Linked DNA regions of Lepisosteus oculatus. The protein of the gene in region 2 purifies or fractionates together with the protein of the main gene of each other region. This does not show direct contact. Links are inferred from orthologs where the notes say so. Each region holds a gene or a part of one and is shown on either strand. Other genes may lie near its edges.

What was found. Proteins that work in one complex are often made in the same cells at the same time.
Region 1: the proteins of ywhae1 (region 2) and lmo7a purify together in Homo sapiens (affinity purification with mass spectrometry; 3 studies listed by BioGRID and IntAct, with this or other methods). This does not show direct contact. The link is inferred for Lepisosteus oculatus from reciprocal best matches to the Homo sapiens genes YWHAE and LMO7.
Region 3: the proteins of ywhae1 (region 2) and cep170aa purify together in Homo sapiens (affinity purification with mass spectrometry; 3 studies listed by BioGRID and IntAct, with this or other methods). This does not show direct contact. The link is inferred for Lepisosteus oculatus from reciprocal best matches to the Homo sapiens genes YWHAE and CEP170.

The regions. Positions count from the first base shown.
Region 1 is NC_090710.1:33,933,877-33,941,034, reverse strand, and holds the start of lmo7a (LIM domain only protein 7), read right to left. Parts: upstream 3,158-7,158; 5' UTR 3,056-3,157; exon of another isoform or gene 3,013-3,055; coding exon of another isoform or gene 2,992-3,012; intron 2,897-2,991; exon of another isoform or gene 2,876-2,896; intron 2,481-2,875; coding exon of another isoform or gene 2,452-2,480; coding exon 2,383-2,451; intron 1-2,382.
Region 2 is NC_090721.1:11,109,644-11,116,890, reverse strand, and holds the start of ywhae1 (tyrosine 3-monooxygenase/tryptophan 5-monooxygenase activation protein, epsilon polypeptide 1), read right to left. Parts: upstream 3,222-7,247; 5' UTR 3,027-3,221; coding exon 2,963-3,026; intron 2,246-2,962; exon of another isoform or gene 2,213-2,245; coding exon of another isoform or gene 2,176-2,212; intron 1-2,175. UniProt on the Homo sapiens protein: Adapter protein implicated in the regulation of a large spectrum of both general and specialized signaling pathways. Binds to a large number of partners, usually by recognition of a phosphoserine or phosphothreonine motif.
Region 3 is NC_090712.1:1,042,204-1,050,415, forward strand, and holds the start of cep170aa (centrosomal protein of 170 kDa), read right to left. Parts: upstream 3,158-8,212; 5' UTR 2,953-3,157; intron 1-2,952. Other genes in the region: sdccag8 (serologically defined colon cancer antigen 8 homolog), read left to right, coding at 3,676-3,739, 4,796-4,918, 6,885-6,967.

The DNA of each region.
Region 1 (7,158 bases), on a different chromosome or scaffold from region 2:
TACTTAACAATGACTTATAGTGTTGCAATAATTAGAGCTATCTTTAATGGGAAGAGAATAGATTCTTGTATCTTCCAAGATTGTGTTTAACTTGGAGCAACAGTGCAAATGTTCACTACTTCTTAATGAAAGGGACACCAACCATGTCCTACCCAAAAAAAAATATTAAGACCTGGCCAGACCAAAGGATAGTGTGGTAACTTAGTGAATCACAAAACAGCAAATGCTGCACATTAACTTTGCAATGAAAAGCCTAAATGCCTTCAATACCTTCTGCCTTGAACATTTGCTCATTTTTGGTCCTGTTAGAGCAAACCTGGACAAGACTTTCCAGTAATGCTAATGGGAAAAGAGTAGCTGATTAACTGCACAACACATTTTCCATGCAAACCAAATACATCTTAATTTTAATTAAACTGGGTGCTTTCCAACTGAATGCTCATAAATAGTCTACTGCAGTCCCAGAACTACAGGGGGCCTGGAGCGAACACTGTCCTTATATAGAGCTTTTTGTTCATCCCATGTTCCATTTCCTTCTCCAGATATGTACTGTAGTAAGCCACCCCTGTCCTCTTCCTAGCATCATGGTACTTGCAATATTACGGACTTTGTTGTCCCACATGGGAAATTTGCATTGCAGGCAAATACAAGACATAACACAATACAGGAACAGGTAAAGGTTTATTCCATGCTGAAATGAAAAGAGACACAATGTTTAGGCTGTCCAAAACTTTGCATCTCCTGTCTTTTGACCATGGAATAAATGTTTACCCATTCCATTGCAGCCAACACATGCTGAAGCAGCTACCTACTCGAACTTTATAACACTACAACACAATACATTTAACACTTCTTAACTCATTTACAAATAAGAAACATACATGCATAAAGTGAAAGGAAAACAAGCTTGCAGCTTGTAATTGTGAAAATGTAATTTTCACAATTTAGGAAAATAAACCTTGTCATCAGTGGCTGAGACAGATACATAAGACATACAGTATGCATGACAATAAAACATAAAATAGTAAAATATCACGAGTTGTTCAGATTCAAGCAGGTTGCTAGCCGAAGGAATAAAGAATAACTATTTGCACTAAAATTAGGCAGTCTAAATCAACACCCTGATGGAAAGAGCTCAAATACACTGTGTAAGGGGTGGTCATGACAGCCATCGATCATGTTGGCCTTCCACACTGTTTGATGTCAATGTCTCCCAGCTGTACCTGTTGTGCACCCAAGACTTCGCTGGCTACCTTCACTGTCCTGCTCAGTCTTATTGCGTGTGTTAAGGTCACCAAACCAGGCTACCAAGTGAATGTCAGAACAGAGTCAATAAAACTTCCATAGAATAAAGACTGCTTAATTGTACTACACACACTTAAACAGCAGAGCTTTCTCTGTAATAATCAGAATTTCCTCAGAAAAGAGCATCCGTAATTTCCTGAACTTTAAGCTTATAATCAACGATAGTGCAAAATATAACTGACAACGATGTCAATTTCTTGTTCCTCAATGACTATTGGTTTTGCAATGGGTAGTTGCTTCCTATAATTAACGACTAAAACGATAAGTTAAAGAAAGATGTGTTGTTACATTTTTCCGACAAAATAACCCACTACAGGCTCATGATCAATGTCTACATCTTAGAGACCGACAAGAACAGAGTCATCAGCAAACTTAAAGCCGTGTCTGTTCTCAAAAGGTATTCGTCAGTCTGTCTAAAGAACGTACAGGATGAGGGCTAGCAGATTTGATATAAATTACTTTGTATGAAGAATTTAAATTCTTATATTAGACGACTGTACACCGCTAAATCTCTCTTTTAGTTGCCTTCTCCCGATTTCTAGAACCACAGAGTAGCAATTATTTTGCAATTGCTTACATTGCACGCGAAACGTTTTCAAGAGATTTCAGATGCTTGGTAACACATTCCTTAGAGATCTCAGGTAAGTTAAGCAATTGAGACAATAGCTGAAGGTTCGCATGATTCATAGAACAGTTCAAAGGAGGGGTAAACCAAGCAAGAGATTACTGAGTGGAGATAGCGATACTGAGATAACTCCGAAAGAAAGCTCGAACCATGCAGCTTTAACAAGCCGGTTTTATTGGTCTGGGATTGGATGCCAGAGTAGGTATGCAGACACACATGACTTCAGTGAAACTTTGCCAGCATCAAACATTAACTCTGTAGAGCTCGTATAGTTTTACATGTATATTCTCCACAAATCTACAGCAACCCGGTGACTAAAAATTGCTGTCATTCACCAACGCTCAAATGAACAAGTATACAACGAAGGAAAATAAAAGCGTGCTTTAACCGAATACAAAACAGGCGCTTTGCCTTTGGGAAAAGTAATTTTGCTAGAATTAAACGCTCTGTACCTCCATCCATCGCTGAGCTTCTGCAAAAGCCAAATCACAGCTGACATTGGAATTCTCTCTCCACTCCATCTCGCAGTAATCCTGGCAGCTCTGTAATCCTTTGTTCGCGGTTCCCCAAGGATATTAAGAAAACGAGGTCAAAATATTAGTTTTACAACGGCAAAATAAATCCTGCGCTTGATTGTTAATTCACGACCCCAGAACCAAAGGTAACAGCTGTCTTGTGATTATGCTAGCTGAGATAAATACTCATTGAACTGGTACTCTACCATTGTATATTTATATACGAGTCCGTAAAGTATTGGCGATGGAATCATAGTAACTTGAAAACGCTTCACCTGAAACTTACGCCCTAACCTACATGTTTCCTACATACGTCTGAGCTCTGTAGCTAAAATACTCTTAGTTCTGCACTACTTTCCAGTTAATCAAGACAGACAGAATACGTTTTACGCTCCCCACTCCCCAAAAAGCAACTTTTCAATGCACATACAGGTGTTTCCCGTTATCCCCACGTCTGCAGCTTCACAGACCGTCTTGCTCTGCTCTCTCTGCCTCCCACCTGTATCTTCTGCTCGGTAAAACTCCCCACCCTCCGTCCCCCGGTACCTGATGCCCGCAGTCTTGCATGAATTTCTCCAACAGCCGGAGAAGTCACGAAAACACTACTAACCCTGGACGAGCCTTCAGCCGCACACACTTTGCAGGTCCAGAAACCAGGTCGACTACTTGTACTGAACTTAAAAGTTTGAAAAACCCTGACGGGAGGAAGTCCCGCCCTCTAGTGATTACTTGGCGAAACACGGCTGAAGTTTCTGTAGGTGCCGCAGAGGAGACAGGGCCGGAGGAAGCGCTATCAGTGTTAGTACACATGCAAAGAAAACCAGATGCCAAACCTCTAAGATTAAAAACACCTTCAAGTTAAATTTAAAACAGCAGCACTGCATTACTCGGTTTATTCCTGGCGACATTTTCCGAACATTGCTTTTTAGTAGGGTGCAGTTAATTAAATGGTGTATTATTTTAATTATCTACTTGAACTATTATTTTAATTGTCCGTTTAATCTGCGAAAAACTCGAGCGTAAAAAGACCATTTCAAAATTAAAAAAAATAGAATGCGCTACCGTCGTGTAGACTAAATGGTCATCTCACTGAAAGTATTTTTTTCGAACTATTTCAGTCTGGATTTAGATCATTGAAAATGCTCTTTATTAAAGTTGATAATCTTCTTTTAATATCCCGGTTCTTATGCAAATGACATTCTACTTACTCCATTAAATCAAATTATAGCTGGTATGACATCTCTGGTACTGCCCTTAACGTGACCTTTAAAAGGTTTAAATTTTACCCCTTTGAGCATCGACGTTTTATTTATTTTATTTGTTTTGATGGCTTCTTTTCTCTGATAAACTTGGGTACAGTGCATCCGTGTTGTCTAATCACAGGTAATTTGACATCTGAAGGCTCTGTCATTTAACAACATAAGAGTTTGCAGACGAGTTGATCTCATCCAGTTATTTCTTTAAAACATTGGCTAGCTTGTTCCATACATGCACAACCCTTTGTGTAAAAATGCCTCCTGTTCTTGGATTTCAATGCAATTCCACTTGTGAGCTCGAGTCCACTTTTCACTGTTGATATTGAGAAAGATCACCTGGTTGACTTTGTCATTGACTGAGGATTTCACATTCCTGTATTCAATGTCATGTTGTATTCAGGTACAGTAGCTTGTAAACTAGTCTATTTTAGATTGAAAAAAGATGTGTCTCTTTTAGCTTGTTATGTAGGATTTTCGCTAAGACCCCTTAATGTGTTTGGTTGCTCTGCTCTAGACTGATTTCAGAGCAACAAAAAATGTTTGTTTTGGTAACCAATATTGTACATGATATTATAAATGTAGGCATTCTAGTGATAAGAAGTATTTTAGTTTTCATATATTCCCCCGTGTTGAAATATGGAATATTACAATTACATTTACTGTTTTTATCAGTTTTATGCAGATTATATTTTAATCTACTGTATGTCCACCCTAAACCTGACAGAGTTAGCTGATCCAGTACTCTTTGATTGCATTTCTGAGACAAAAAAGTCTTACAAAATATTTTGAAATTCTTATTATTGGTCTTCTCACAACACCTTGTCAGATGGGGGGCACTAGCCTTGGGATTGATCCTTCATGTGTCTGCAAAAAAAATGGTTCAGATTTTTGTGTTTAAAGGCTTCATTGTTGTAATCCTATGTGGCTGAGCCTCTTAAACGTCACAACTTGTTCAGAGTTAGGCAGTCACAATCCTTACTAGGCCTCACGCTAATAATCACATCACTCCTGCCTCACAGTCCTTGCACTGGCTTCCTCTTAGGTTTCAAATATGTGATATTGATCCTTTTAGGGTAATTATTTTGATTATAATAAATACAACTTGCATATCAGAACCAAAATCTGAATAATAATTTAAATGAGAAGTAAAAATTCAAAACACTAACAATCAAATAACTAATGACGTAATAAAGTACGATATATTTTCTTAAGATATTATCCAAATCATGACACAAGGCACTCTTGCCTTCTGAAAAGCATGTGAAAGGCTACGGACTGAAAAGCTGTAACTGAAGTAGGTCTGCTGGTTCATAAAACCCATGGCCTCCTGGATTCATGCATATATTATATTGTAATATAATTATAAAATAATTAACTTATAGAACACAAAGGCATCGAGCCTGTGTCCGTACATCAGAACCTTCCTGATAAAGACCCCTTTACTCTTTAATTCAGATCACAGTTCTGTGAAAATCTTAGCCCGTCTTCAACATTCCGTTAACACTGGAATGGGGAAGAAGTCTCATCCTTGGCAAGAAGATAAAACACGTAATAGGTAGACTGTTCCGAAAACATGCCTTTCATGTAGAAGAGGAACCACCCTGAGGATTTCAATGAGTAGTCAGTAACTGACACTCCCCAATTTAGTCTCCTTTTAGCTTTCTACAAGCATCTGCAAGAGCCTTCCTTTGGTTAACACAATCCCTGTAATTTCCAGAAATGGCTTTCTCTTTGCGTTTTTAGATGAAGGGTTAAATGCTTCTGCTATACAATAACCTTCTATAAAACAAAATGAATAAGAACAAAGGTTCGAAGGTAATTAAAGGAACGGCACAACGGTTGATTATTATTGAGTTTCAGCATTTGAAAAAAAGCCAGTTTCTTTACTTATGAGTGGAACAAAGAATGTCACACCCATGGAAAATGCTAAAGATTTTCAAGTATGTAGAAAAACCGGCGTGACCTAATTAAAATGTAAACAATGAGTGGAGCACATACCTGAGCACTTGAGTCCAACAGGTGTTGCCTTTCACTCCAATATACTAATACTCACAGCTGACAAAACTGTTGGAATGTTTGAAGGCACATAAAATTCAAAAGCTGATTAGTTACCTGAGAAGAAAATTGACATATATGATGCTTTGTGATATGGCCATGGACCCAATTTTGTATGCCAGGTTTTGTAATTAACTGTAATCAAATGTTTGTATATGGAGACACGGTGGCACTGGGGCCCTGGAAGACAGCATCTTGATTACTTCCAAGAGGCAAATTGTTTTCAATTCCTGACCTGGGGTTCTGTCTGTGTGAAGTCTGTATGTCCTTCCCGTGTTTGCGTGGGTTTCCTCCAGGTGTTCCAGTTTCCTTCTACAGTCGAAAAACACACTGGTCTGTTAATTGGCTTCTGGGACAATTGGCCTTAGGTGTGAGTGTGTATCTGTCTGTATTTTGTGTGCACTGGCGTCCCATCCAGGATGTACCCTGCCTGGAGCATGTTGCTTGGAGGACAGGCAATACTGAACTGGAAGAAGTGGTTAGAAAATGGATGGATGATATATTTGAAAAAACTCACTACAAGGAAATGGGATCTTTCACACAAAACCTTACCTGAAGCCAACTATAGTGTATGTTGTTGTCTTTCCTTACCTCTTTAGATGTTCAACTCTTTTTCTGAAATTGTGAAAGCCATACTTTTTCATTGGTTTCAATGGCTTATATGACTTTTGTGCCGGAACACTGAAGAAAGTTAAAATTGATCCTGTTATTACAGAGTGCCATTGTTTAAGATTCCAACCGATATATAGCGTTATTGTGTAACGAGTCCCCAGATGATCTTTAAGGTCAGACCGGAATAGATTCCTTCACCACTCCCTCAAGCAGAGCATGACTTTATTTACTATTTTTCTTAGCTCACATTTCAGTCCTTTCAAGTTGATTCCTACTTAAAATTTTCTAAAGATACTTTTTGTTGAGTTTATTATTTTCCGATCTTAATAATAAAACATTAATCACTTTTTTGTGCCTTTTAGCATTTTTTCTTCCATGGTTTTGCTGAATCTGTTTTTAACCATTAAACTGTATTTTTAAATAGAAACGACGCAATGGCTAATGACACAGTAGTGTTTATTTAGCCTGAAAAAATCAAATATATGTAGAATCACTCTAATTTTGGACCACGTTTTAACAGGTGCAAAATACCCTACTAAAGGGGGTAGATAAGAAAAGCACTGATGAGCTGTCAGCTTTTTTACTGCATTCCATTGTTAATATGTTTTACACAGATTATGCAGTTTCCTGAAATAATGCCTTGATCTTTGGTCTCAAGTAAAAGCAGAGAACTTGTTTCTTATGGGGAAAAAATACATACACACATTCTTATAAACAGCTACCTAAAAATAAGAAACCTTCTGTGATGCTTCTCTACATTATTGGGAAAACCTTGTTTAAGCTTTGCAGT
Region 2 (7,247 bases):
ATGCACCGTTAATTTGCTTAGGAGACCCTTATGTAGGTTTACTTTCAGTACAGAACAATATAATCATCTGATCATTAAATTATGATCTCTGTTTTAAAATAGCATGGATCAAACTAAATTCCATTCGTAGGCTTCTTCCACAACTGCAAGGTGAAAAAATCGTATGTTCCATATTCAAAGCCATACACAATTCACATTATCTTAGGGACACACAATAGAAGTACACTACAGGTTACAATGACAGCAGCATTAGCACCATGTGGTCTTGCCACACCTCAGAAGCTAAGCAAGGCTGGGCCAGGTCAGTACTGGTATGGCAGACAGAAAACCTGGTTATGGTGGACCAGTAGGGGGTGCTCTTCTTTCTACAAGACAATTCCAAACCAACATCCCAATGGCCCACTGTGGTGATTAGGAGAGAGTGCTGCAGTCCTCTGGGTGTTAAATGGAAGTCCTGATACTTGCTCATTGAAGACCACATGAGGTTTTAACCCAGTTTAATTCCATTCTGGATTTACAGAGTCTGTCCCCCCCTCCCCTAAGGCCCCCCTTAGTTTAACTGGTGCAGCAGTTTCTCACTCCTCCCTCCTGCTCGCCTGAGCAGTGCGTCATCCAGGTAGGGCTGCTCTTCACTGATGGATGAAGAGGGTCCTGCCCTAAATGCAGAGTGTTCTGGGATACTCAGGGAAGAAAAGCACTACAGAAATGGAATTCCACACTTGCATCTGAAAGTCCCCATTTACAGGTGAGGAGAGCTGCAAGAACCTGCAGTTTATCCAGTTAGGAAAAAGAAGCCACACCATTCTGACATGCTTCATTACACCGCCCACAAACGTGGACCCATTTAAATGGCCTTTTCAAACAGTGACCTCATTCTCTGTGGATGCCCTCCATAACGCAGACAGCAGCACTGGCCTAGTTTGAATGGCAGGGGGCAGCAGCAGCATGTGGCTCAAACCCTCACAGGATCTGATGTAAGGCGCACAACTGTAACTGTACACCTAGGTCTGCACCAACGCACGTGTTTGTCACTCCAGCCCACAGCTCACCGAGAGGAAGAGATGGGGTGTTTCAAACCCTTGTCAGTTCTCAGTTAATTTAGGTAAGGTCATCACAGGGGCAGATTTGCCCATGTACACACAGAAGCGGAATTCGAATGATCACACAGCAGCCCCAAAGCATCCAGCTTTCAACTGGATCCCGAAGTTTATTTGTGTATGCTAGTATTGCACCAAAGAGGACAGACAGAGAAAAGAACCGCAGCATGATGGTTGTGGTTTGCCTAAGAGGGGTGACGACCAGAACCAGCTAAAATCAGGACTGGGCACATGAGCGCCGCTGTGGGCGACGATGCAGGCAGGAAAAGCGCCTGCGGCCGGCGGCTGCTGTAATGAATGAACTGCGGGCGGACAGCAGGGAGGAGCCTTCGCCATTCACCACTCCAGCATGCAGCAGACATGCCGTAATATCGCCGACGGGCTTCTCGGCAGCTCTCGGTCACCTGTGGCTCCGTGCACGACGGCTCACAGCTTTGGATACGGAGGGGCATTAATCAAGCACCGCGTCTCTTCTGTTTATTGTCAGCTTCCAGCCAATTACGACGTTGAGCGAACCACCGCCATCTTAAGCCCCCCGCTCCCTCCGGTTTAAAATCACACAGTACGGACAACCCCCTTCCGAAAGAGCCCGATCCCAGCCCAGGACGTGAAAACCGCAGGACGATGTTGCCGTGCAGCCGGAGGGATCCGTCCTGCAGCCGGCTGCGCAAGAGCCCAGCGCGGCGTGGACCCCTGCCCCTACCACACCCACAGCCGAGCTCCGGGCTAAACCCCAGTCGGCACCTCGGCGCCCCACGCAGGGCACGGTGCTCCACAGCTGCCGCGCCGCCGAGGGGAAGATCCAGGGTCGCCATTACTTAACGCAGGATTCCCCGCCACACACAACCAAACGGTTGACTAAATATGATCAAATAAGACGGGTCTGGGTCACATTCACTTCAAAACACGCGGAGCTCTGCTCTGATATCAGAGAGGATTTATAAAACATTTAATCTAACTCGGTCTGCTCCCGTTTCTGCTGGGCGTGTGTCACGCCGGACGCGCAGACGAACGCGAGAGCGCAAGACCAGACAGAAATGAAGACGATCTCTTTGAAAAGATCAAAATTCAAAACCACCTCCATTCGGAAACCTCGGTGTCAGACCAAATCCCATTTCACTGCAGCCGCCATTTTGAAGCACCCCGGCCGCCGCCACAGCCCCGAGAAGACGGGGTCCGGTCCGTGTCCCCACCCCTCTCCCTGCCCCCCGGGGAGCGGAGCGGTCCGGCTGCCCTCGCCGAGCCTCGCCCCCGGCCCGGCCCCAGCGGGGACAAAGCCAGCCGGACCCCACTGCACGCCGGACACCCTCCCCCCTCCCCGCCGCCCGAGCGACGCCGCTCCCCCGGAGGAAAAAAGCCCCGGACTGCGCCCGGCCGCGCCTCCCGGCCCAAAACCCCGTCTCCCCGCCCCGGCTCCCGCCCGAGTCCCGCCGGACCCGCCGCCCCGCACTCGCCCCCCTCCGCTAATTTATCTACTATTGTTAGCCGCCATTTTGCAAACTCGCAAAAATTGGATGCAATTCCTCGCTGCAACACAGCGGACGCGATCCCCCTCCCCCCCGCCGAGAGCTCCGGACCCGCACGGTCTCGCTGTCCCCTGCCGGGCGCCCGCGGTCACCCGTGTCTCCGCGGGTGTCCGTGGGGCGTGTGCCCGGCGCCGCTCTCCCTCCCCGCCGCACAGCCCGTCTGCCCCCCGTGAAACCGTCGCCATTTTGTCTCTCTGCCGGACTCCATCTTCAGCCGCCTGTCCTCTCCCCCAGCCCCCCTCCGCCAGAGGGAGGGCGAGGAAGGCGCTCGGCAGCGAAGGAGAAAAATACAGATTTCTTCCCCAAAAATAACACCGCCCTGGTTCCCCTCCCTCTTACCGTCGTATCTCTCAGCCTGCTCGGCCAGTTTGGCCTGGTACACCAAGTCCTCTCGGTCTCCCATGTCTGCTCGGAGCCGGCGTGGCGGTGTCTGCACTGGCTGTGGAGAAGCGGCTCGGCGGCGGGCGAGTCTGCGTGAGTCGATCGGCGGTTCCTGGCGGAGCAGCAGCAGCAGCGCGTCCCCACTCCACCGGCAGCACTGGACTAAAGATGGCGATGGATCTCCATCCGGGAAACTAACCCAGTCCACCACCCTCTCTCTCTCTCCTGCGCTCGCTCGCTCACTCGCTCTCCCCTCCCTTCTTGCACCAGCTCGCAGCCATAGCAACCGCTCCCTGGCAACCACAGAAACTTGGAGATTGGAGTCCCCGCGCGAGTGTGCGCGTAGCTCTGAAGCGAAGAGCGTGGAGTCCGCGAGCGGGGCTCCGGCAGTTGAAGGAGCCCGAGCTGTGTCGGTTGGGAATGTGGCGCCTTCCCGTCACTGCGACACCGGTCCCGGACTTTCACAGGCGGTTCCGTCGAGAACTGTAATTACTGTGTGACAAACCGATTTGTAATTGGAAAGAAACACAGAGGCCAGCAGAACCTCCGTCATCGTCGTCAGGGCAGATCTACTGCGGACGTTAGTTTTACACAACAGCACTGTACAGGATTGGGGATTAGAGGGGCTCCCTTTGTTTCGGGGATCCCTATGTGGTCCCCGGACTTCTTCTGGAAGTCCTCTGTTCGTGAACACAATTTCGATTTGGGATTCTAGGGGGATGAAAAATGCTACAAAATGCAATAAAATTAACTGAAAAATATGGCACAACATAGAAGCGTCATTTAAAAGAAAAACAAATGTTCACAAGATAGTTGTGTTAAAATTATGAAAATCAATGTGTCAAAAAAACAGATTTGTCCATTACAGGTAAATAGATCTTTTTTACAACTAAAAAAACCCTAAAAGCCGTCTCCCACAGTTTTTCTGATCTGTTCTGAAGAAAAGCTTCAGTAAAAAGCTGAGGCTGTATCCCTGTATGTAGAGTGTGAAATATCAACCAACAGAAAGGCTTATTCTTTTGTTCAATTAATTCATCCGGTGTTAACATTAATGAAGCAAACAAGAACGACAAGTCAGAACAACAACAAGTAAGCAGGCCTGTAAAAATGACGTGCTATGTGAAATTACAGTCGTGTCTGTTTTCCACAGGCTATGAGGATGATTCAGGAAGGCACAGTGTCTCCCTCAGGAGTAGCTGCTGCAGGAGCACTCAGAGAAGCACGTGGTACATTAGCAGCCACAAGCAGGGAAGGAGGGCCCGCTCAATATTGATTTCATTTTATTAACAACAGAAAAAAGGTTACGAATGAGAGCAGGCCATGCAGCCCATTTAGCTTGTTGGGTTGCTAGTAGCTAGTTGATCGAAGGATCTCATCCAGTCGCTCCTTTTAAGGAGCTGGGATGATCAAATTTGACAAGAGGGTGGGATAAATTGTTCCAGACTCCCACGACTCTTTGTGTAGAGAAGGGCCTCCTGCTGTTCTCAGTTTTAAATTCCACTCTGTGGTTTTTCCTCTTGTGTCTACTTGTTCATGTTTGCCTGCTGGTTTTATTCCCAGGCCGGCAGTCTCAGAATCGCACACCAAACCTGTCAGTCTGAGGACAGAATCGCAAACCGAACCCCCATCAGTCTGAGGACAGAATCACAGACTGAACCCCCATCAGTCTGAGGACAGAATCGCACACCGAACCCCCATCAGTCTGCAGACAGAATCACACACCGAACCCCCATCAGTCTGAGGACAGAATCACAGACCGAACCCCCATCAGTCTGAGGACAGAATCGCACACCGAACCCCCATCAGTCTGAGGACAGAATCACACACTGATCCCCCATCAGTCTGAGGACAGAATCGCACACCGAACCCCCATCAGTCTGAGGACAGAATCTTACACTGAACCTGTCAGTCTGAGGACAGAATCGCACACTGAACCCCCATCAGTCTGAGGACAGAATCGCACGCTGAACCCCCATCAGTCTGAGGATAGAATCGCACACTGAACCCCCATCAATCTGAGGACAGAATTGCACACCGAACCCCTATCAGAGGACAGAATCGTACACCGAACCTGTCAGTCTGGGGACAGAATCACATACTGAACCCCCATCAGTCTGAGGACAGAATCGCACACCAAACCCCCATCAGTCTGAGGACAGAATCGCACACCGAACCCCCATCAGTCTTAGGACAGAATCGCACACCAAACCTGTCAGTCTGAGGACAGAATCGCACACGGAACCCCCATCAGTCTGAGGACAGAATCGCACACCGAACCCCCATCAGTCTGAGGACAGAATCGCACACCGAACCCCCATCAGTCTGCGGACAGAATCGCACACCGAACCCCCATCAGTCTGAGGACAGAATCGCACACCGAACCCCCATCAGTCTGCGGACAGAATCGCACACCGAACCCCCATCAGTCTGAGGACAGAATCGCACACTGAACCCCCATCAGTCTGAGGACAGAATCGCACACCGAACCTGTCAGTCTGAGGACAGAATTGCACACCGAACCCCCATCAGTCTGAGGACAGAATCGCACACCGAACCTCCTCCAGTCTGAGGACAGAATCGCACACCGAACCTGTCAATCTGAGGACAGAATCGCACACCGAACTCCCATCAGTCTGTGGACAGAATCGCACACCGAACCCCCATCAGTCTGAGGACAGAATCGCACACCGAACCCCCATCAGTCTGAGGACAGAATCGCACACCAAACCCCCATCAGTCTGAGGACAGAATCGCACACCGAACCCCCATCAGTCTGAGGACAGAATCGCACACCAAACCTGTCAGTCTGAGGACAGAATCGCACATGGAACCCATATCAGTCTGAGGACAGAATCGCACACCGAACCCCCATCAGTCTGAGGACAGAATCGCACACCGAACCCCCATCAGTCTGCGGACAGAATCGCACACCGAACCCCCATCAGTCTGAGGACAGAATCGCACACCGAACCTGTCAGTCTGAGGACAGAATTGCACACCGAACCCCCATCAGTCTGAGGACAGAATCGCACACCGAACCTCCTCCAGTCTGAGGACAGAATCGCACACCGAACCTGTCAATCTGAGGACAGAATCGCACACCGAACTCCCATCAGTCTGTGGACAGAATCGCACACCGAACCCCCATCAGTCTGAGGACAGAATCGCACACCGAACCCCCATCAGTCTGAGGACAGAATCGCACACCAAACCCCCATCAGTCTGAGGACAGAATCGCACACCGAACCCCCATCAGTCTGAGGACAGAATCGCACACCGAACCCCCATCAGTCTGAGGACAGAATCACAGACTGAACCCCCATCAGTCTGAGGACAGAATCGCACACCGAACCCCCATCAGTCTGCGGACAGAATCGCACACCGAACCCCCATCAGTCTGAGGACAGAATCGCACACGGAACCCCCATCAGTCTGCGGACAGAATCGCACACCGAACCCCCATCAGTTTGAGGACAGAATCGCACACCGAACCCCCATCAGTCTGCGGACAGAATCGCACACTGAACCCCCATCAGTCTGAGGACAGAATCGCACACTGAACCCCCATCAGTCTGAGGACAGAATCGCACACCGAACCTGTCAGTCTGAGGACAGAATTGCACACCGAACCCCCATCAGTCTGAGGACAGAATCGCACACCGAACCTCCTCCAGTCTGAGGACAGAATCGCACACCGAACCTGTCAATCTGAGGACAGAATCGCACACCGAACTCCCATCAGTCTGCGGACAGAATCGCACACCGAACCCCCATCAGTCTGCGGACAGAATCACAGACTGAACCCCCATCAGTCTGAGGACAGAATCGCACACCGAACCCCCATCAGTCTGAGGACAGAATCGCACACCGAACCCCCATCAGTCTGCGGACAGAATCGCACACTGAACCCCCATCAGTCTGAGGACAGAATCGCACACTGAACCCCCATCAGTCTGAGGACAGAATCGCACACCGAACCTGTCAGTCTGAGGACAGAATTGCACACCGAACCCCCATCAGTCTGAGGACAGAATCGCACACCGAACCTCCTCCAGTCTGAGGACAGAATCGCACACCGAACCTGTCAATCTGAGGACAGAATCGCACACCGAACTCCCATCAGTCTGCGGACAGAATCGCACACCGAACCCCCATCAGTCTGCGGACAGAATCACAGACTGAACCCCCATCAGTCTGAGGACAGAATCGCACACCGAACCCCCATCAGTCTGAGGACAGAATC
Region 3 (8,212 bases), on a different chromosome or scaffold from region 2:
TCAATTAGCTACTATCGGGATAGAGGGGCCAAATCACTTCATGTCCCTTGTAACCTTTCAGATATTCTTAAAACTTAACCATTAAATTCTTTCTCTTGTTCACCAGTAAGGGCCAAAGATGAAACAATCAGACAAAACAGAGATGCCCAAAATTCAATACACCTTGCAAAGAGTTACTGCACAACCAGTATACACTATGTTATATACTATGTAATACATACATTTGGATGATCATGTAATGTTACAGTCCGTTTCCTTCCAGTCAGTTACAGAGACCCACAGGATTACATACAGCAGCTTACTTATTAAGAATCTTCAAGTGTTGGGCTGATCAGAGATATTTCTGTGTGTAATCGGGATTCCTCTGAGGTCTTATTTTCGCCTCAAGGTTTCCTTTTTAAACGGTGTTGATGTGAGGGCGCCAGACCCGAGGAGCCCGTCTTATCTCCGCCCACTTCCTGCCGCTTGAGACGGGGCTCGCCGGCCCGCTGCTGCCCAGCTCCAGCGCCCCAGGCTGCGCGGGTCTCACCCGTGAAAGAGCAGAGCACGGCCGCGCGGCCAGAGCAGGAGAGGTTGGCAAGAACACAACGAGCCCATGGGCGAGGGACAGTTTGTGCAGCACACTGCACGGCTCCGTTTCACAGCTTTCACACACTGCGGCTACCTGAGAGTCACACTGAGTGACTGCAGTCGCAGAGAAGGCTCGGTTCACCTCTGCGATAGAATCCCGAATCGAGCAGCTGTGAGGATGATGGATTGGACTGACCGAGCAGGAAGAGCTGGAGTCAGCTCTCCTCATTCCGGCTCCATTAGCCCAGGTCTGCGCTTCCTTCAAACGGGACGTCCAGCAGGGAGGCCGGCGCTGGTCTCTTCCTGGCCTCTCGCTGCCACGCCGAGCGAGACCCACAGAACCTCTCACGGCAAGAAAAAAAACCTCTCGTGTTCAGATGGTCTTTTTGCCTCCTCTGTCACTGCAAAACCACCAGGCTGGAAGACGACTCCATCTAAGAGGATACGGCAGAGCTGCGAGACCATTTGACAGCCCAGGAGGAGCATTTTCACCTCAGCAGCCCCATGTTTTCTGCAGCTCCACAGCACTCAAAATACACCCAGGCCAGCTTCCGCCTGCACACCAGTGGCAACACACCACACCTTTACCAGTGTTCAGGTTCACCCTCACCTCCCTGGCAAGGGGAGAGCGACCGGAGATACGTTTAAAACTGGAATAAAACAAAAACCTTGGCCACACGGCCAAGTTGTTTAGCAGATGGACATAATCGATCTGTCAGACGAGCAATGCTTATGAGAAACATCAAAAAAAAAAAAAGAAATCTTTTCTGAACATCACACACAGCTCTGTCCTGTCCTGGAGATACACATGCCATGGAAAAAAAAAGACTTTTGTGGCTATAACCCAAGGACGTTAATCAGTGTAGAACAGGGATGTCTGCACTCAGAAACCAACTCTCCGCCACAACAATGTCATTATTAAAAACATTTGAGTTTGTGCAGCTTGTAGTTAACACCTTCTGAAGCGGCGCTGCGTGTCTCCTGGCCTGACAGAGAGCTCCCAGTCAGGATATGGAGGATGTCCTCCATCTGATAGGCCCAGGGCTGGTAACGGATCCCGTCTCTCTTAAATAAATACTGAGGAGGAGGAGGAAGAGGCGGGCTGTGACGTGCACTGGCACAAACCCAGGACTTCCACACACACTGGCTGTGATTACTCCACTGTCACTTCAGCGATAAACGCAAGGGGATCTCTCCGACATCGGCTGATATCGCACCTCTGACAGCCGATACCCCAGTGTCAGCTCCGTGGGGGTGAGGGACTCTCGGCGGCCCCGCACCACACAGCAGAGCCACGCCGTCCATCCGGCACAGAGCCGGGCCTGCTGGTGCCACACTAACAGAAACCGGGGTACCCCGCTACCCCGCAAAACCAACAGCGCCCATGCACATTATACACAGGGCATGTTCGTTCACACCCAGAGCACAGACCAAATCTGTGAACGCCCAACCGGGTCGGGACTGGAGTAACGGTCCCCTGGAAAAGCCCGTTTATTCGGGGGTGCGCGGGGGAGGGGGGGTTCCCCGAAAAAGGGTCACTCCCTCAAAACCGCCGTTTCACTGCCTCGGAAATATTATGTACTGTGCCAACCAGATGAAACGTCGGCAAACAATTAAAAAAAAAAACAACGTCGGTCTGCAGCCATCCGCGCCACAGATGTTGGGAGTGGGGTGTGTGTGTGCGGGGGGGGGCAGTCAGGACAAAAACTGACAGCGGATTGGCGGGACCCAGTCTCTGTTCCCGTTACATTCTCCACTGTTTTGCTGCACGTTTGAAAGAGATGGATCCATTTTCTGCGCTCCCGGCCCCCCCGACATCTTCAGGACTCAGCCCGTCTGGGAGCAGGCAGGAAATGGCTCATTCCTTCATCCCGCAGCCTCGTGCGGCCGTGCACCCCGGCAACATCCTCCCAGCGCCCCCTCGCCCGAGCTCCCCGCACCCCGACAGACCGGGGGGTTCTCGCACATGGAGGAGGGGAGGGGGGGGGGGGGACCCCTATCCGCCCCTGCCTCTCTTCCATCGCCTTCACGAGGACGGCTAACCGCGCCCCCCCTCACCCTCACCCAGCAGAGCCGAGGTGTCACCGCCGCGCAGGAACACCCCCTGCACCGGGGACGCGTTTCTGGAAAGAACCGGACTAACCGGACGGCCCCGAGCAGACAGAAGACTCCCCGGTCCCCCCGCCCGTGTGGCAGAGCCGCTTGCCGGGGGGTCCCGGCCAGACTGTACCGCTGCGAGCTCCACAGACATGGAGACGGAGAAAAGCGTTTCAGTATTCAAGTGCATTGTGCTTTATTATTAGCCCTGTTCTCGCCAACCCGACCAGCGTTAAACTAACGACGCATCCTTACAAGAAATAAGAAGCCAAGTCTCCTACTTACCCTTTTCTGGACTGTTGTGAGTGTATACGTGTGTCCACTCCACTATAGCCGTATATACACAATGCGCTCACACAGAGACTAGCCCAGCCCCTGTATGTGGCTGCTCGCCTATTTGTCTCGGTTGCTCAGCAATAACGCTGCCGCTCCTCGCATAACGGCGCCGGAGCCCGCAGGCGCCTGCAGCTCCAGCCCGACCCTCTGGGCGCGGCCTCCACGCCGACGGGCGTCCGCACGGACCAATCGCTGGCACGAACGGGGACGGACGTCGCAACCTGAGGGTGCTTCTGGCCAATCAGCGCCGCTGAGAGCGGAGGAGTAGGCAGGACTCCGGGGGATTGACGTGAGCCGGGACCTATGGAAATCGTGAAAAGAGCAAGGCAGAGGAGGGGTCGCCTTTTTGGCAAGCCGACGGAATGCTCAGTAGCTAGGGGCAGCATGGCGGCGGCCTCCCTGGCAACGCGCGGCGGAACTCTGGGAGTTGTAGTTTCTGCGTTTCCTATTCTCCGCCTGAGGACGTTAGGCTGACGCCCGAAGAGCACTACCATTCCCAAGGAAACCTGGGACCAGTTTGAGGAAGTGGCAGGCGCGTCACCGATTGGCTGTGCTTGAGGCTCTTCGGTTAAAAATTTGGGGTAAATAAAATAGAGCTTCTGCTCGGGAACGCGAGTGCGGGTGTGAAGTCTGCCCTTGAATTTCGTGCCCCCCAGCCGGTCTGTATAATCCATGAAGCCCACTGTGGAGTCCGAGGATGACGGGGAGCTGGAGCAATACCAACAGGCTCTGAGAGGTGACCAGGAGAGGAACAGCTCGATTCTAATGACCAGATGTACAGGGATGCTTATAATGGTGTCTGTAAACTGAAAATACAGTTACACGGCTTGCATACCAGTTGACGTTTACCGGCAACATCTACACTTTTTTACAATTATATCGCTTAGCCTCTTTGCTACTTTGTATGGTAACGTAATACAGTGATACGATAAACGTATGGTGTAGTTGAGTTTTTTTGATTTAATGCAGCGATAAAATACTTTATTACACTTTATTAAATATTCTTCAATTATAGTCTCTGCTTTCTATAATTTACGTGCTCTTCGGCAGATCAATGCGACTCAGCAGATATAAATATTTATGGGTTCGCGGTGTAGACATGCACCTATACAGCGGATCGATTGGGCTGTCAGGAACACGCTCCTTCCTCAAGGAGTGGAAGAGTATCCCTTTGGAAAGGCTTTGCAGCCAAACCCCGGGGAAATGCAAGCAAGGCCTTTTCTTACTGGATAAAAATGAAAAATCTTTTTCGATATAGATAGCATCAAAATGTTTTTTTTTTCTAAATAATTTGAAATGTACGCTTCTTTACATTAATCCTAATACAATGATAGAATAAAATGTATTTCCCTGGACGAAAGCATCCCTTAATTCAATACGTTATATATTGTACAGTAGGTGACTGTTAGGTTTTTATAGAAATGTTCCGGTTTTCCATATAAACCTATGCAATAGGGTCATTTATTTATGAATCTGTTGTAAGGACATAAATAGTCATATTAACCCCTGTTGGCTGCAGGAGACTGTCAGGTCTTTATATAAACAATGTGGGGGGAAAAAACAATTTCAACACAGTCTTTAATTGTGCAAGGTTTCTTGCCGTTGCTGTGTTGCTGTCAGTGTTTAGAACCGTGCTGTTGAGACCGTGCGGCCGTCCTGCTGTGATTCCTGTTTCCTCCGGAGGAGAGGGCTTCTCGCTGAGCTCGCATGCCGGCCCCTGCCCACCCGGGTCTTCACGGGAGGGGCAGACAGGCTCGCTGCGGTGTCACTCACCCGGCTTGTTCCTCCACAGACCGAGCCAGCAGGAGCGCCCGGCAGCTGCGGAGCATGCTGGGGCCCAGGAGCCCGGCGGGACGAGGCGCGGAGCAGGCGGGGTCCCGGGACAGCTGGCACCAGCTGCAGCACAGCGCCGCAGGTACGGCCCGCGCCCGCCGGTCTGACACCGCGCACGCCCGACAAACCCCAGGTCTGAGAAAACACGAGGTCAGCTCCTCACTTCACAGCTGCGGGCCTGAAGAACCCCAATTCCTTCTGTTTTCTGCTTTTCACTGGGCTCTCAGATACTTAGTTGAACCCTGCTGAATGAAAAGCCAGTCTTGTAGCTCTTTAAAATCTCATGTTTTCAGTCTCCCATTTGAAGAGCAAGTTTCAAACTGTTTTCAATATCTTAAGAAGTTAGTGGCGTCCTGGAAAATTGCATTATGTTATCTGCAGGTGTTGCTAGAACCGTTCAGGTACAGTCGTGTTCCCTGTCGTGTTTTACAGCAGGATACAGACCTTGAAAGTTGTCGGCTTTCATTCAGTGCAGGAGTGTGTTGTCCTCAGTGTTGCGTTGCTTGAGCTCAGCACACTAACAGCTGCTGGTAGGATGCCACCATCAGGGTTTGGAGAGAGGGATTGCATTGGACAATGCTGTTAAGAGTTACTGCACCGATCTTATAATTATTATAATAATTGCTTACACTTATATAGCGCTTTTCTGGACACTCAAATCAAAGCGCTTTACATGTAATGGGGACTCAACTGCACCACCACCAATGTGCAGCATCCACCTGGATGATAGTGTGCCAGAACGTTCACCACACATCAGCTATCAGTGGGGAGGAGAGCAGAGTAATGAAGCCTGTTCATAGATGGGGATTATTAGGAGGCCATGATTGTTAAGGGTCAATGGGAAATTAGACCAGGACACCGGGGTAACACCCCTACTCTTTTCAAGAAACACCCTGGGATTTTTAATGACCACAGAGAGTTAGGATCTCAGTTTTACGTCTCATCCGAAAGACAGTGCTTGTTTACAGTGTCCCCGTCACTATACTGGGGCATTAGGACCCACATGGACCACAGGGTGAGCGCCCCCTGCTGGCCCCACTAACACCTCTTCCAGCAGCAACCTTAGTTTTTCCCAGGAGGTCTCCCATCCAGGTACTGACCAGGCTCACACCTCCTTAGCTTCAGTGGGTTGCCAATTGTGAGTTGCAGGGTGATATGGCTGCTGGCCTTGAAAAGTATAAGCTACAAGGAGGTGTAGTAGCAGGACATGAGATGAGACAAATGGTATCTCATCTGTGGCCCATTTTATGTGGCCAGTCAAGTTTGTCTACAGGTGCTTCACTGATGCTGCAGCAAACCTGCATGCAGGTAGTAATTTTCTGTGGCTGCCGTGGAATTCGGTGGCCAGAGGTGAATTCTGCATCGATTCCTGCCATCCCAGAGTCCTTGAGTGTTTGATGGCTGCCTCTGGAGAACGGTCACTGCCCATGCGAAACTTGGTGCCAGTGATCCCATTGCTGTGGCTTCGTGATCACTGTTTCCACAGCTGTTTGAGGCCATGGATGTTCTCCGTGCTCTCTCTGTGTTGTAGCAGAGCAACGGGAGTGTGTGTAAACTCCTGTGTCTCAATGTATGATAATATGTTGAAACTGATATCTTACTGAAATGTATTTTTCTTATGTGATGACTTCAAGGCCTTTAACATGATTTGAAAAGAGAGGTTTGCTGTAGAAATGAAAGACTTTATGTTCTGAGTAGTGATTTTTAAAAAAAATCTGAACTGAGAACATGAGGCGCATCCTCACCTGAACGGCTGTGGAGGTCTGGAAGATGTCACTTAGTCGTGTTGTAAATGCTATTGACCTGGCTTCTCTGATGAAATGAATGAGCAATTGGCTGTAGCTAACAAATGAGCTGCCCAACTGGATCCCTCTTGTCTCTAACCTTTCTTGCATGCTTTGAAAGTGTGGAAATACATTACCATACATGCCCATTATCGGTACCAACATGCACGCGATGTGAAATGCCTGTTTCTCACAAAAGTAGCATATGGCGGCACCAGAATGAAAATATAATCACGCTAACGAAAAGTTCTCTATGTTTTGCAGTCAATCAGCTACGATCCCTGCTACGCAAGCAAGAAAAGGAGTCCTTACCTTCCTCCCCTTCAAGGGAGAAGTCTTCCCCCAAGGTACAGAGAGCATAACTGCGAACCGCCCTCGCAGTCGGATTTGTTAAGCGAGCCGGCCTGTTCAGACCAATGTACAACTGTGCAATGTCATGGGCCACTCGCCACACTCAGCAATAGAGCCTGCCTGCCAATGGGCTCTCATATCGGTGCTGATCGCCAACACATGCTGATCAGTCCCTCCAGGAAATTTTGGAGACAATATTACGGCTTTTTAATGATTTATGTGGGAAAATTAATATTTTATCTGTTATTATTTGCATAGTTTAAACCATTTACATTTGAACAATGAACTAATGTGACTTTTACAATGGGAATTATGAGACATTGACACAGAAATAATTGTTGCTTCTTTAAAAATGTTTTACTCATTTTTAACCTTTTCACATTAAGAGTATTTTCCTTAAAACATTTTAAATGCTGCAAATTATCAGAAAGAGTTCTATTTATCCTTTCAGCTTCTCACAAAGTAAAATGTCTGAAATAAGCACAAACGTACAGAGAAAGGAGATGTTGTTTGAAGTGTAAGGTCTTAGCTTGCTTATATTGTATTGAGTTCGACTGAAATATCAGCCGACTCTTGCACATAAGATACATTTATGTCACTGTTAAAGAGCTATATAATTTCTCTCAACTAAAATAGTTTTCACATTCAGTGCCAAAGTTCTAATAATCTTTAGAGTATGTCAGACTATTTCAATACATAAACTAATCTATTCATTAATTATGTAATATGTAATTAACAAATACATTTTTGGAACACCATTAATAATCATGAAATCCCATTTGGTACAGTATGTTTATATCTGCTTAAATGGCTTCAAATAATACTTGTCTTAATTGCTGTATACATATTAATGCTATTAAAATTGCTTAGGTTCTTTAGCCATTTTATAATTGTTATTTTGGGTTTTTAAAATGGTGTAAGAACAATTTAAACAGTAGAATACTGTTTCTGACCTTTTCATGAAGTCCCATATGTCAAAACTACATTTCCCACAAGACACTGGGTTACTGCGGGCATAGCTGAAATGGATCAGAAATACTGAATACTGTATAAACTATGTGTATTATATAAAATCAATTATCTAAAGATTCACAATGTTCATGCTGACACTGAACACAGGTCAAAATATTTCAAATGCAGTCCAGTAATATTTTTAATATATAAATGTTTGTGATAGTTTATTATACAGCAGTCGACTAAACAACGTTGAAATCTCGAGATTTCTTTTTCAATCCTTGATG